2 linked regions of the Caenorhabditis elegans genome follow. The protein of the gene in region 1 purifies or fractionates together with the protein of each later gene. This does not show direct contact. Each region holds a gene or a part of one and is shown on either strand. Other genes may lie near its edges.

Evidence for each region.
Region 2: the proteins of trxr-2 (region 1) and T24C12.3 fractionate together in Caenorhabditis elegans (co-fractionation; one large-scale study listed by BioGRID). This does not show direct contact.

The regions. Positions count from the first base shown.
Region 1 is NC_003281.10:8,912,105-8,918,569, forward strand, and holds trxr-2 (putative glutathione reductase 2), read left to right. Parts: upstream 1-1,664; 5' UTR 1,665-1,676; coding exon 1,677-1,937; intron 1,938-1,985; coding exon 1,986-2,122; intron 2,123-2,168; coding exon 2,169-2,253; intron 2,254-2,602; coding exon 2,603-3,139; intron 3,140-3,189; coding exon 3,190-3,532; intron 3,533-4,100; coding exon 4,101-4,249; 3' UTR 4,250-4,355; downstream 4,356-6,465. Other genes in the region: tpk-1 (thiamine pyrophosphokinase 1), read left to right, coding at 46-212, 267-347, 757-988, 1,033-1,144, 1,194-1,333; M-phase inducer phosphatase cdc-25.3, read right to left, coding at 4,400-4,879, 5,274-5,643, 5,691-5,791.
Region 2 is NC_003284.9:2,197,894-2,205,800, reverse strand, and holds the start of T24C12.3 (Carbohydrate kinase PfkB domain-containing protein), read left to right. Parts: upstream 1-1,907; 5' UTR 1,908-1,961; coding exon 1,962-2,113; intron 2,114-2,160; coding exon 2,161-2,236; intron 2,237-2,510; coding exon 2,511-2,609; intron 2,610-2,653; coding exon 2,654-2,765; intron 2,766-2,895; coding exon 2,896-3,129; intron 3,130-3,181; coding exon 3,182-3,302; intron 3,303-3,385; coding exon 3,386-3,471; intron 3,472-3,517; coding exon 3,518-3,642; intron 3,643-3,808; coding exon 3,809-3,865; intron 3,866-4,647; coding exon of another isoform or gene 4,648-4,906; intron 4,907-4,955; coding exon of another isoform or gene 4,956-5,111; intron 5,112-5,164; coding exon of another isoform or gene 5,165-5,234; intron 5,235-5,281; coding exon of another isoform or gene 5,282-5,363; intron 5,364-5,915; coding exon of another isoform or gene 5,916-6,101; intron 6,102-6,166; coding exon of another isoform or gene 6,167-6,340; exon of another isoform or gene 6,341-6,361; intron 6,362-6,808; coding exon 6,809-6,888; intron 6,889-7,907. Other genes in the region: T24C12.4 (ShKT domain-containing protein), read left to right, coding at 840-882, 936-1,116, 1,182-1,359, 1,408-1,560; T24C12.1 (Tetraspanin family protein), read right to left, coding at 4,648-4,906, 4,956-5,111, 5,165-5,234, 5,282-5,363, 5,916-6,101, 6,167-6,340.

The DNA of each region.
Region 1 (6,465 bases):
TCATCACAAGTGGAAGCTTACAAAAAATAAAAATTTTGCAGAGAAATGTCAAAGAAATTGAAGCCATTCGAAATTTTAGAGGATTCGTGTGCATCAGTATGTATTTGGCTTAACGGTGAACCTACGGCAATCAGCAATCGCGCTGAAAATTTATGGAATAAGGCCAAATATCGAGTTGCAACTGATGGAGCTGTTAATGAGATTCTTAAAAGGTGATCTAGGATCCAGAAATTGAAAATTATCGTAAACCGAGTTTTGGATTTCAGAAAGAGTTTCGTCGAATGGCCTCATATTATCTGCGGAGATTTCGATTCAATAAATAAACAGATTGATACAAAAAATGCAAAGTTAGTTTAAATTCTACTGAAATTAAAAATTAATATAGGCATTACTCAACTTCATTGTAATCGTGTTTCATGTTTGATAACATCTTCTATTAATGAGCAATGATAGAATTACTGTAGGGTTACTGTAGTGATCACAAAGAATTATTACTGTAGCGGCTGTTGAATATTAGCTAAAAGAATATATAGGCGTGAACGTTGAAAATAAAATTAAAATATTATTGAGTTGTGTTTTTAATACTGGAAGACTGAAAGCTACAATTCGTTGAGAAGAGTGTATTGACCAGGTCATAATAATGATTTTGCACTTTTTTTGGTATTTCTGGCTTGCCAACTAAATGTTATTCATTCTGTGTTCAGGACTAAAAAAATAAAAATATTTTGTCGAAAATTGTTCTTAATGTTGTTTTAGAGTCGTCCATCTGCCTGATCAAGACTACACAGATCTCTCGAAGAGCGTTCAGTGGTGCTTAGAGCAGAAAACACTAACAAGCTGGGAATTCGAGAATATCGTTGTTCTAGGAGGTCTCAATGGACGATTTGATCACACCATGTCAACGTTATCATCTTTAATAAGATTCGTTGATTCTCAAACTCCTGTGATCGTTTTGGATTCTAGAAATTTGGTTCTCGCTGTTCCTACAGTAATCCTTGGCAGGCCTATGTGAACATTAAGAGTTAAATTCAGGGGGATTCAAATCTTGATGTCAATCTTGAAATGACAACAAAAATGTGTGGAATCATTCCAATTGTTCAAAAGGAGACAATCGTCAGTTCAATTGGACTAAAATATGAAATGGGTATAATCCAATGTTTCAACATCATTTCTATTAAACGTTTCCATTTCAGAAAACCTTGCTCTTGAATTTGGAAAACTTATCAGCACGTCGAATGAAGTTACCACGAGCCAAGTATTTTTGAAATCTTCGTCGTCTCTGATTTTTTCAATTGAACTTGAAAATTGGGTCTACAAACTTGATTCTCTATAGTATCACATTTTATGGTCCCTCTTAATTCACAACTTTTCATTCCTTTGCTATTCAACTGTTCTATTTTCTTTTTATTCCATTTTTCCTAGTTTTCACCGGTACTATATAATTATCTACAATATTATAATACACTTTATTCCCTGTACCATTTTGTGTTGAAAACGAATTAATAAAAATAAAAACGAATTAATAGTATGAGATTAAAATTTTCATTTTAAAAGCAATGTTATTTGTTTAAAAAATATCCAATTCTAATGAATTATCTGCGAATATCCGATAGCGATTTCAAAAATCTAATGAAAATTGAAATTCAACTTTAAATCATTTGTAGATCAATTTTCTGATGCTTCTATCCACTTTCAAACGACATCTACCAATCAGGCGTCTCTTCTCATCAAATAAATTTGATCTGATTGTAATTGGAGCAGGATCTGGAGGACTTTCTTGTTCTAAAAGAGCAGCTGATCTTGGAGCAAACGTGGCATTAATTGATGCAGTTGAGCCAACTCCACATGGACATTCATGGGGAATCGGAGGAACTTGTGCAAATGTCGGATGCATTCCTAAAAAGTTAATGCACCAAGCAGCAATCGTCGGGAAAGAGGCAGGAATAATATTATAAATATTTAGAGCACTAAATTCAAAATTCCAGCTAAAACACGCAGACAAATATGGCTGGAATGGCATAGATCAAGAGAAAATCAAACATGATTGGAATGTGTTGTCAAAGAATGTGAATGATCGAGTAAAAGCAAACAATTGGATTTATAGAGTTCAATTAAATCAGAAGTATTTTTTTTAATTTTGTGGAAATTTTTATTTTTATGAAATTTAGAAAAATCAATTACTTCAATGCCTATGCCGAGTTTGTGGATAAAGACAAGATTGTGATAACTGGTACAGACAAAAATAAAACCAAGGTACGTTTGGAAAAATGAAAAAAGAAGTTTTAAAAAATTTGTTCCGTATACCCAAAAGTTTTGCGGCTTTTCGGAGGAGAATACGGTATCAGGTCTCGACACGACAATATAGTTTTCCGAAAAAACATAATTTATTCTAACAAGTTGTGATAAAATCTATAAAAATAATCTATAAAAATTCCGTAGCAACAAATGTTTGAGATGACAGTACTCGTTAAAGGCACAACTTTTCGCATTTGACAAAAATTTGTCGCGTCGAGACCTGGTACCGCATTTTTGGCGCAAACTTTAGGTAATAATAATATTGCTAGGAAACGGAAAATTAAAAAATTTCATCCTAGATTTTCAGAATTTTCTTTCCGCACCGAATGTAGTCATCTCAACAGGACTCCGTCCCAAATATCCAAATATTCCTGGTGCTGAACTTGGAATCACTTCAGACGATCTTTTTACACTGGCATCAGTTCCCGGAAAAACTTTGATTGTTGGTGGAGGATATGTTGCATTGGAATGTGCTGGATTTCTTTCTGCATTCAATCAAAATGTTGAAGTTCTTGTGAGATCAATTCCTTTGAAGGGTTTTGATAGAGATTGTGTGCATTTTGTCATGGAGCATCTGAAAACAACTGGAGTGAAAGTTAAGGAACACGTGGAAGTAGAACGTGTAGAAGCAGTTGGCAGTAAGAAGAAGGTTACATTCACTGGAAATGGTGGTGTTGAAGAATATGATACAGTTATTTGGGCGGCTGGTAGAGTTCCAAATTTGAAAAGTTTGAATTTGGATAATGCTGGAGTGAGGACTGATAAGAGATCTGGGAAGATTCTAGCAGATGAATTTGATAGAGCTTCCTGTAATGGTGTATATGCCGTTGGAGATATTGTTCAGGTACGATAAAAAAAGTAACATTTTTTTAAAATAAAAATGATAGTATTCAGGATCGCCAAGAGCTCACGCCACTTGCTATTCAATCCGGAAAACTTCTAGCTGATCGTCTTTTTTCAAATTCCAAACAAATAGTTCGATTCGATGGAGTTGCCACTACAGTATTCACGCCTCTTGAACTCTCAACCGTCGGGTTAACTGAGGAAGAAGCCATTCAGAAACATGGAGAAGATTCGATCGAAGTGTTTCATTCTCATTTTACTCCGTTTGAGTATGTTGTGCCACAGAATAAGGATAGCGGTTTTTGTTATGTGAAAGCCGTGTGTACAAGAGATGAATCGCAGAAAATTCTTGGTCTTCATTTTGTTGGACCAAATGCCGCAGAAGTAATTCAAGGTAATTGATTCAAAAAGAGAAATAGTCCGCCCCGCCCGTCACGAAAATGTTTTCTGAACACCTTCAATTTTGGAACAATGTTCGAAAAACCATAATCTGTTCGCAAAAACTTACGTGCTAAATCTGTTATTTTGAATTTTTTATCTTTTTCTTTATTGAATGAATAATATTACACATACGCAAAATTCTGCTATTTTTGCGCCAAAAATACGGCTTGATACGACAATTTTTAATGCAAAGAAAGTGTGCACCTTTAAATAATACTGAAAATTTAAACTTTCGCTGCTGTAGAATTTTTATCGATTTTTTAAAGATTTAATCACAACTTGAGACAATTAATAAATTTTTATCAAAAAGCTTTAAAAATCTACAAAATTTCTGCAGAATCGAGAGTCTGAAACTACAGTATTCTTTACAGGCGCGAAAAAATTTTATCGTGTCAAGTTCAGGTACCGTACTTTTGGCAATCAACTCACAATATTCTGCGGGTAGGTAATACTAACAACCTCGATAATCGATCAAGATACGAAAACTTTAAAAGCTAACCGATTGCACTAAATTATTTCAGGCTACGCAGTAGCATTCCGTGTTGGAATTTCAATGTCTGATCTTCAAAACACAATTGCCATTCATCCATGTTCTTCTGAAGAGTTCGTGAAGCTTCACATTACAAAACGATCTGGACAAGACCCAAGAACTCAGGGATGCTGTGGATAATTCAAAAAGTTTATTGACAAATCATTCAGTTTATTTATCAAAGTTAATTTACATCCTATTATCCTGGATACTAGTAATTATAATTAAACATAATAAATAGTACAAAATATTTGATTATCCTTTTTAAAAGATACCGGGAACTACATATTCTTAATGCGCATCGTGCTCATGGATGGGATCACATGTCTGACGAAGTGTCGAAATACGAGTTCCAGAAGTTGTTAGAATAGATATCACAGATGTTGTTGAACTCCATTTCTTCATTGGCTTCGAAACATTCTTCTTATGGAACTGGTGCTTCCGAAGCTCAGCCTTATAACGATCATCAAACATGATTACATAATTATCTGGCTCACAGAGTTGTACTCTTTGTTCCTTCTCTAATCCCCGCGTGAAAGCGTAAAAGTTTTTATAACCTCCTTCCAACAAATAAATCTCCTCATAATCACATCTCGGATAGATATTTGAATTCAGTTTTCTGTCCACTTCCCGAAGGTTGTTCGCCATGGTTGGTCCACGTTTTTGACTGTATTCACAGTAGAAAATGGGTATCCGGTTGATTTTCTTGGAACCATCTTTGTTGAAGAAGAAGTCTGCAGCAGTTTCTGGATTGAACAGGCTTTGAGCTCCCTGAAAAGATTTGCAGTTTTAACTTTCTGGTATTTTTTCAAAACAGTTATTATAATTCTTTTTTCTGAAACGCACACTTAAAGGCGCATGATTTGGTTTGGAAGGGTCTTGCCACGAAGGAAAGTAGATTTTTTATTAATTCTAAAATTAAATGTGTTTTCTGTTTTTGACAGAACCCATTAGAACGGACTCATGATTCTTTAAGTACGAGTTTTAAGAAGTACAGTATCCCATTCTCATATGGCATTTTCTCTCGAAAGAGTCTATTTATTGAAAAACTAAAATGATACACGGACACGAAGAGAGAATATAAATTACGAGGGTTACTGTAAACTTAAAGGTACACACTAAGACTTTGGAGTCTGGAAACGTAGTACAAACGGCAAAAACTAACCTTAATATGCCCTCCATTATATTCATAATCATATCGGCAATCAATTAGAATATATTTCTGCATAAACTCAATTTGCGATAGCTTCTGCATGATTTCAATTAACGTTTCAGAAGTGATTTTTTGGTATACGGTAGAACAGCTAGGCGTCACGGTTTCCAAATGATAATCCACTTGAAGATGGGCATTCCATGTCTCAATTTCCGAAGTTGAATGGCTCTTTTTTGAGAAAGTTAGTCTTTTCTTTATCACAATTTCAGAAGTATTCGCAGAATCCGTTCCAGATGTATATCCTCCATCAATGCTTCGTTTCCGAGTGGGTGGCGATGAGTTGGAGATGTGGCTGATCGCAGAAGAGTGTTGACGGTTTTGTCTGTAAATTATGGATTTATTGATATCGAACACAAATAATCAACTAACCTTGGGAATAGCTTCGAGGATCCTTCAGCACATTCAGAACATTTCAGCCGGAGCCCGTCATTGCGAACAATGCAGTTTTCACATGGAACGTCAACGCACATCAGGAGACTTGGAGCTAGACTGAACTAGGTATACCTGAATGAAAGAATGCAATAGAATGGATTTGAAGACTAAATGAAAAAAGAGAGACTGACTAGTCTAGTTTAATATGAATTGGAATGGGATCAGTAGAAAACCCTAATGAACACTCAATAAAATAAAACATTATTTTAGCGCGCAATGATCATGGACCCTCCCCTTTTATATGGTCCCCCTCGAGATCGATATAACCTATATAAAATGGGGCGGGCCGTTCTCCTGGGAAGACAATTGATCTCGCAATTGTGTGCCAAGGTGTCGTGTTAGTGTGGCGATGTGCACCTATTTCCGGGAGTGAGAATTTGACCTACGATTGTTTTCACCTTTAGAGCGGGAATTAGACAAAGAGAATATGAGTAGATTCGACTGGGAAGTTTTGATTCTGGGAAGAAACGGTGAGAATTGTCTCTAATTGTATTTAACTTTGAACAATTTTAAATAAAATTTTTGGTATAAGGTGTAGAATATGGCTTGTGGGCAAAACAATTGAAAATCATTAATTTGATGGATACCATAATAATTTTTAAAAAATTGGAAAAGAAAAAATTGGAAAAAGAAAATTTCCACCTATAAAAGGAAACGAAACCGGCTTCCAGGTTCTTGACTGACTCTTAACATATCTAGATCAGAAAGAACC
Region 2 (7,907 bases), on another chromosome or scaffold:
AAAACCATTCCACTTTTTTGAATGGTTTAGGCTCTTCAAAGAGGCAAATGGTGAAAACTATGTGTAAAACAGAAATTTCAAATTTTTAGGAGAAACAATTTGTTTAATGAATGAAGTTATTTCATTGTTGGAAGCATGAGTTTCTGATAATTAGCGTCAGTGGGGATCTTTTCCAAATGCACCAATAATGATATAAAATAACCATATTAAAACACTCCAAAAGTTTTTAGATTAAAAAAAAACTTCCAGTCAGTCAAAGAAGTTTTGGCTAGTTGCCAAATTTTGGAAAACCTTTTAAGAAAATCCAGAGCAATGTCGCAAGAGTCTACCCTTATAATGTTTTAAATCAACTAAATAGAATACAATTAAAGTATAAAAGTCGTCGAAAAAATAAATTTTTTTTGACCTGCTTCCAAAATTATGAGAGGCAAAAACTCAGTAATTGCAACTTTTTGAGAGTGAATAAAATTTCCAAAAATTTTTTTGGAAAGATTTACTATGATAGTATGCCAACTTCAATATACCCCACACTTCTTTCCGCGATATTAATCACAGACACGTGTCACCTACGTGTAATCACCGATGATCATCCAGTAGTGCATATGCCAATCACGTCAGAGTTGACGGTCTCTCATGCTCCCATAATGCTTAGCTCGATTCATTTTTCCGTGCCTTCCGGTCATCGTTTACATTGTGTTGTTGCTGCACACTGCTCAACGCCTTGGGGCGGCGCGAAAATGCGGGAGGTGCAGAACCGGAATGATTGGCACTGTATTATAAAAGTACGAGCAATGTTCCGTCGACTTGGGACATTCTCAATTACACCACAATTGAGCGTCATGTGGAAGTACGCGGTTGTCTTTTCTGCTATTTTTCTCATCCGTGAGTAGGCTTTTTCATTTCTAATTCATTTTATTGTTTTTTTTTAATTTTAGATATTGTGGATGCTGGCTTCCAAATTTCACAGCTCAAACCATTGTACAAAGAGGATAATATTACTATCAGTGAGCTTTCCACAGCACTTGGAGCAGCCTTTCCACCATGTTGCTCCGATATCATTTCGAGCATTGCCTGTAGAAGACTTCAACAGCACAATCCTTCGAAGTTCCTAGACAGGTTGGTTTTTTTTTAAACTTCATTAATTGTTTCAAATGCTCTCTGAAATTAAATATGAAGTTCAGATGCGCTACTGACGCTGATTTCTCTTTGATCCAATGTTGTAACACTTGTGGAATGGAAAGCGCTGCCGATAGATACGAGCTCATTTTCCAAGCCGGCCACAAATCCAACCAATGTTTCGACCGCCATGGATCAGAGTTCTGCAAGCGATTTTTGAAGAAGGAGGATGTTTGGGGAAAGGTAGGTGACGCTTTTCTAAATGTTTTCTAGACCACTTTTTTTTTGCAGTCTCAATGGTCTTGCGACGGATCGACTGCACATTTGGCGTTCCGCATTTGCAGAAAAACTTGCAACTTTTGCCGCAGAGATATTTATCGCACACCGCTCGGTCGATTTGAGCCAGTGTCTTGTGGAAAACCACCAGTTCTCATTCCGAACTAAATGTCACACTGGAAACGTAATTTATTCATTCTTATTTTTTAATATTTCTTACTCATTTATTTATTTATCTATTCAATACTTACTAATCTGTTGTAATATATTTTCCTAATTTCATGACGAAAATTAACGAGATCTCGATCGAACCTTTTTAAAATTCCAATTTATTTATTTTAATGATTAATAAAATCTTCACAAAAAAAAAGCTTGGACTTTGAAATTCGTAAAAATGACAATCTTATCAAATGATGGACACTTTTGAGATAGTAAAAAACAGAGTGTAGAGGGCAATCTTATCTCTTCTCTCCATCTTTTTCCATATCGATCTTGTTCGATAACCAGAAAAAGTAGTGTTGTAGATAGTGCGAGCCCCATTCTAGGTCTATTACTCTCTATTTCTCACTATGTGTTCTCGATTTTTTGGCCAAAAACGTTCGTTTTCCAAATTTCTTCAAATTTCTCCACAAGTTAAGGAGGCTCTAGCTAGCGGAGAAGGAGTTGTCGCGCTGGAGAGTACAGTGATCACACATGGACTTCCTTACCCTCATAATTTAAGGTAGTGAATTGCAAATGCATTTGAAACTATTAAAAAATTATTTGCAGTACTGCAAGAAGTTTGGAGCAAAAAGTTCGATCATCAGGAAGTCATCCAGCTACGATTGCGTTATTTGATGGAAAAGTAGGTTTTTTCGCTAGAACTTGTTTCTGAAAATTTAAATTATTAAATGATACTTTTATTGCTGCCACGTTCGTTTTTCTAGCAGACTGCGACATTTTATACCAATATTTTCATATAAAACAATAATATTTTTTTATTCAAAAACTGCCAAAATTAGTGTTTCATCAACTAAAAATTCTTAGGAATTTTTGTGAAAACTTAAACGCTATAAAATTAAAAATCATTTTTTGAAAATTTTAAATAGTGTATACCTAAACATTTTCATTTTATTCAGATTCATGTTGGATTGGATGATGAAAAACTGGAACTTCTTGCTTCAAGTCAGAATGCAGTCAAAGTTTCCTCCAGGGATATCGCAAAGACACTGATTAAAGTAAGTTTGATCTACTATGATAAATTTTTCAATGTTGATTTCAGAAAGAAGTTGGAGGAACTACAGTAGCTTCAACTATGAAGATAGCACACGCAGCTGGGATCAGTGTATTTGCAACAGGTGGCATTGGTGGAGTACATCGTGGTGCAGATCAGAGTGAGTTGTTTCATGTGTTTGGTGTTTTTTTTTTGACCCGTGAAGTTTTAGGAAAATTGTTGAATTTGGACAATTTTTTTTACCATTTATTCAAGTTCTTTTTTTTCCGAACAGCAAAAAAATTTTCCAGCATTCGATGTTTCGGCTGATCTTCAAGAACTTTCGCAAACTCCCGTGTGTGTGGTGTGCTCTGGAGTCAAAAGCATTTTAGACATACCCAAAACTGTCGAATATCTTGAAACTCATTCCGTGAACTGCATAGTTTATGGGCAAGAAAATGTGTTTCCAAGCTTTTTCACTAGAACATCAGATAGAAAAGCTCAATTCTGCACTGAATCATTGGAAGAAGTTGTTCACCTGTTAAGTGAGTTGATGAAAAATATTGGTTCATGAAGTAAAGTCATGAAGTGTTTCAGAAACCTCGAAATCTCTCGGATTACCTTATGGAACTATTCTGGCTTGTCCTATTCCTGAAAAATATGCAGCTGATGGAGATGCGATCCAGAAAGCAATTGACCAAGCTGTTCAAGAAGCCATGTAAGTTAAAATTTAAATATGTTGCACTTTTTAAAAATATTTTTTGAAAAGTTCCCTGTTTTGCTTCAAAACTTTACTTTCAGTGAACAAAACATCGCTTCACAAAGTGTCACCCCATTCATTCTTGCAAGAGTGAACGAGCTCACACAAGGAGCTTCAATGGCTACAAGTATGCGTTTTGAACAATTTTTCCGCTGTTAATTGTCATTTTACAGACATTGCACTTCTCGAGAATAATGCGTCAATTGCTGGAAGACTAGCCGCAAAGCTCTGCGATAGACGTCCACTTACAATTTCACAGAGCCAACCAACTGCATCAACGACTCGAAAACCAAAAGTGGTGAGTCAAACCTACAATAAAGTTTTTTTTATTCACTTGCGAAATGTGGTATTGTTCTCATAAAAGTTTGAAACAACACAAGCTGTCTTAGCAAACAACCAACGCCTACTAGTTTCAATGACATTTATTTGTCAAACGTATCAAACAGATCACGACTGTTTTTCAGGTTTCTATCGGAGCAACTATCGTTGACTTTGAAGCCATCACGAGTGAAGATGTAAAGGTGAGAATGAAACAAAGAACAATTGAAAATGAGCAACAACAAAAAAAATCAGAAAAAAACATTTGGGGAATGGAGTATACCAAAAAAAAAAAAACCAAAAAAAACATGACAATTTAGAAAAGAAAAACTTTTGAAAAACACGTAAAAAATTATGATGAAAGAAACTTAGAGATTTGAGTGGTTTGCGGATTTTAAAGTGATTGAGCCGTGGAAAGTTGTCTGAAGGGGACCTAACGGTTCAGACATGGCACAGAAAAGTAGACACAAGTGAAACCGCCATAAAAAATTATTGAAAAAATTTTGAAAAGTTTCATTACGAAATTCGTTTATTTGAGTTCATTTTATTCGAAATTTGCATTATTAGATCAAAATTGCCCAAACCGTTTAAACTCATTTAAAAACAAAGTTAGAGAAAAATAATATACACTAGGTGAAACACTCTCGACAATTTGCTGCAACTCATCCACCAACTGCTGCAACTTTAGCAATGCCAAGCGAAGAAGTTGCTAAATTTGGGAAAAAGGTTGGATAAAATTGATCAAAGTAGGTAAACTTAGTAGAAAGTGCTTGGCCAAAGTTGTAGATATGTTTCTATAGTTCGTAGAAACGTTGCAAAAGTTGGTGTATAAGTTGTGACAAATTGCCGAACTAGTAAGATTCATCAAAATATTATTTTACCAACAACATCTCTTATACCAACATCACACCCTTGCAAACACTTTCACAAAAACCCCTGAACTGTCGGAATGAAAAAAGGAGAAACTGAACTGAACCCCCAAAAATTAAAACTGTTCAGTAACAGCAGCCGCCTCAAGTTGTCGTGCATTATGAGCAGCAATCGCTTGTTGTAGCTCTTCCCGAATTTCATCCCCACGGACCGTAAATTCGTTCTCCACCTCCTCGATTACAGAGTGCTTCAAGAAAGGTGAATATCCTGGGAAACTTTTAACGCGGCTGATTCCTGATGTTTGGGTTGACGTGCTGTCAGCCAAGTTGATATTGCTCTTGAAGCTCTCGATGTAACCATCTCCATGGCGGTCACTGAAATATAATTGTTGATTATTAATGCTCCTCAAGTCATAGTTATTACTATTCATTAATCATCTGAGAGTAGTATTCAAGTTCCGCCATTTCTGTTTCAACTTTCTCGATATCTTTTCGAAGAGCTGCGATCATGAACAACTTCAGCGGCGTGATCACACAAAAAGCAAGACATCCGACTATTTCTGTATTGGAATGGAGCCATCTGCAAGATTTTTTTGTTCATATAATTTCAGTTTTTCCTGAAAGATATGTTACCTCTTGAGATGAATATAGCAGTCATTGGAATGTCCAGTTGGGCAAAACGATTTTGTAACGTTTAGAAAATCTGAAATACAGAATTTTATGAGGGGAACAACTGTAGAAACTAGATACCTGCACATGTTTGTAACACTTCTTCGGGTGGGCAGCAAATCAAAGTCTGATAGACGTTATCCCAGACAGAGCATAGTTCTTTCTGAAAATTAATAACACGTGTTAAAAAATTACACAATTTATCAAAATTTTGCATGGTGATATTGAAAAATCTGAAAATGTTTTCAGTGTTCTAGTATAATTTTCAGCATTTTTGGACTATAATAAATGTAATTAAAGTTGATCATAATTGCAACCGAATGTATTCAAACTTTTTGAAACAATTTAGCAATAAGAACTGCGCCGGGAGCGGAAAAGTCATGAGATCCCAAATTCCACGTATATGTGCTAAAATGTGTAATCAAGACCATCTGATTTTTTTTGGTCAGAGTGATAGACTAATAATTTGGTAGGCTGAACTAGGCTGAAAACAATGCTGCATAGGTTTTTTGTCAGTGCGAGTTTTCAAATCATTAAAAAGGAGGTCTTGTAGAAATTGGACACACTGTATCAATAATTAGTATTCCTCAATGAGTTTAATAACTCCTATTTTTCCACGTTTTGTTCTGCACAAACTGTACTGGTTTAACTTTAAAAAATCAACCTAACTGTATACTTGGTTTTTCTCCCGGATTTCAAAATCTTGAATACTTACACTGCTATTGTGAAGTACTTGAATGTGGGAATATAGCGAGGTGTGAGCTGTGGACATGATGCTTGCAAAAACGAAAACCATGACAGCATCCACAATAAGTGTACAGCACTTTATCCAATGACAAAAAACGACAACGCCAATTTGTCTTTTCCGAATTGCAACAATTGATGCGATACACAAAAGTGCCTGAAAACAATGGTTTTTGATGATACATAGTGAAACTATTAAGTTCGGAGCTTTGCACTACTCACCAAACAAATATTGATGAAGCAGTATCCAAGAACATATGGATCATTCTTTTTGATAGGAATCAGCACGAATAATGGGCTTGTGAGCATGACAATCGTGGCGCCAAGAAAGAGAAAAACGGCAAGCAGGAGTATCATATTGCTCCCATAAAGCCATGCCGCTTTACCAAACCGCATGCTGAAAACTTGTTATAATTATGGCAAAGTGATTCTGAAAATCAATGATGAAGGTACAAAAAACAGGAACGGGGAAAGATTTTTGAAAAGAAAGACGAACAGGAAAACACACACCTCGCACATGTTTGTTTCTTCTTTCTCTCTCTCTCTACGAGGATTGATTGTGAGAGAAACAGTGCTGATGGCTCGTCTGTATGATTGATGAAAAGTGGGAGGCCAAGACAAAAAAAGAGAAAGAACAAAATAAAATAAATGAAAACTGTGTGGCAGAAGCTTCCGGCACACTGCCAATCGGAGAGCAAGCTTTCTGATTCATTGCTATTTGAACAAAGTATCAATGCGCTACTGTCACACATTTAAGTGATCGCTTCAAAGCACATAATGTTTTTTTTTCTAAAGAATTGAGATTGAGAATTTGATATTGAACTCCAATATATATAATATCCGGTAACACTTAAATGATTTCAGGATGATGGCGGCTCATACAACGGACAAGTGGTACAGCGAATGGGAGGAGTAGCAAGGAATCACGCGGATGCATTAGCAAGGTCAGAAATACTCGTAAATTAGAATGTCATCGCTTGTGCGTCGCGCTAAAAGACGCACCACCACTTTCACTTTTGGCACACAGTTTTCATACATTCACAAGAAATCGAAATGATATGTTTTTCTTCCTGACCATTTTTGTTTTGAATTGAAGAAAAAAAATTGCTAAGAATTTGTAGCGTGGTCAAAGTACAGTGCATATTGGGATAAATAATTGGAATGATGTGAAAATGTAGTGTTCAAATGAGGGGTGGGTAATTGCCGTTCGGCAAATCGGCAAACTTGCCGGAATTGCTCAACTCCGGCAATTTGCTAATTTGCCGTTTGCCGGTATCAGTTTGCCGGAAATTTCTAAAAGGATTTTCGATAAGGCGAAAACACTGAACCGTGCCATTATGAAATGTTTTCCTGTTTTTGAATTATATTCACATATAAATTGCTTACTTTCAAAATAGATGTAGGGTGATCCGTAGGATGCGTACAATTTTGCGGTTCAAAATTTAAATGTGTATAGAGTTAAAGAAAAAATGTGTAAAACCTTAATTTGCCGATAATTTTTGGCCATTGCCGTTTTCTGGCAAATTCGCCGATTTGCCGAATTTGGCAAAAATTTGAAAAACAGCAATCCACCCCCGGTATACTAAACCAAATACAGAAATACAAAATGTCATAAAACTAATCAAGTCCATTTGCATTTATGGACTTGTGGCTTTCATTTTTTGTTCAAACCAAAAGCACAAGCGAGACCTTTTAACTTCTCATCACATCAAGATAGTACAATGTCACTGTAAACTTCAAAGATGACCGACAACACAATACCACCAAACCTGATGCTCAAACGAAAGTAAATGTTGCCGAGGTATTTGTGTGGATCGCAAAAGAGCGAAAAAGTAATTTGAACTCGGTCTCTTTGGAATTCGATTTTTTTCTGCTCTTATTTTGACAAACATCCCAAGATCGTTGTTCAGTTTTGTAATTGTTTTGTGTACGATCAATTGTTTGATTGACTTTTGTCTGATAG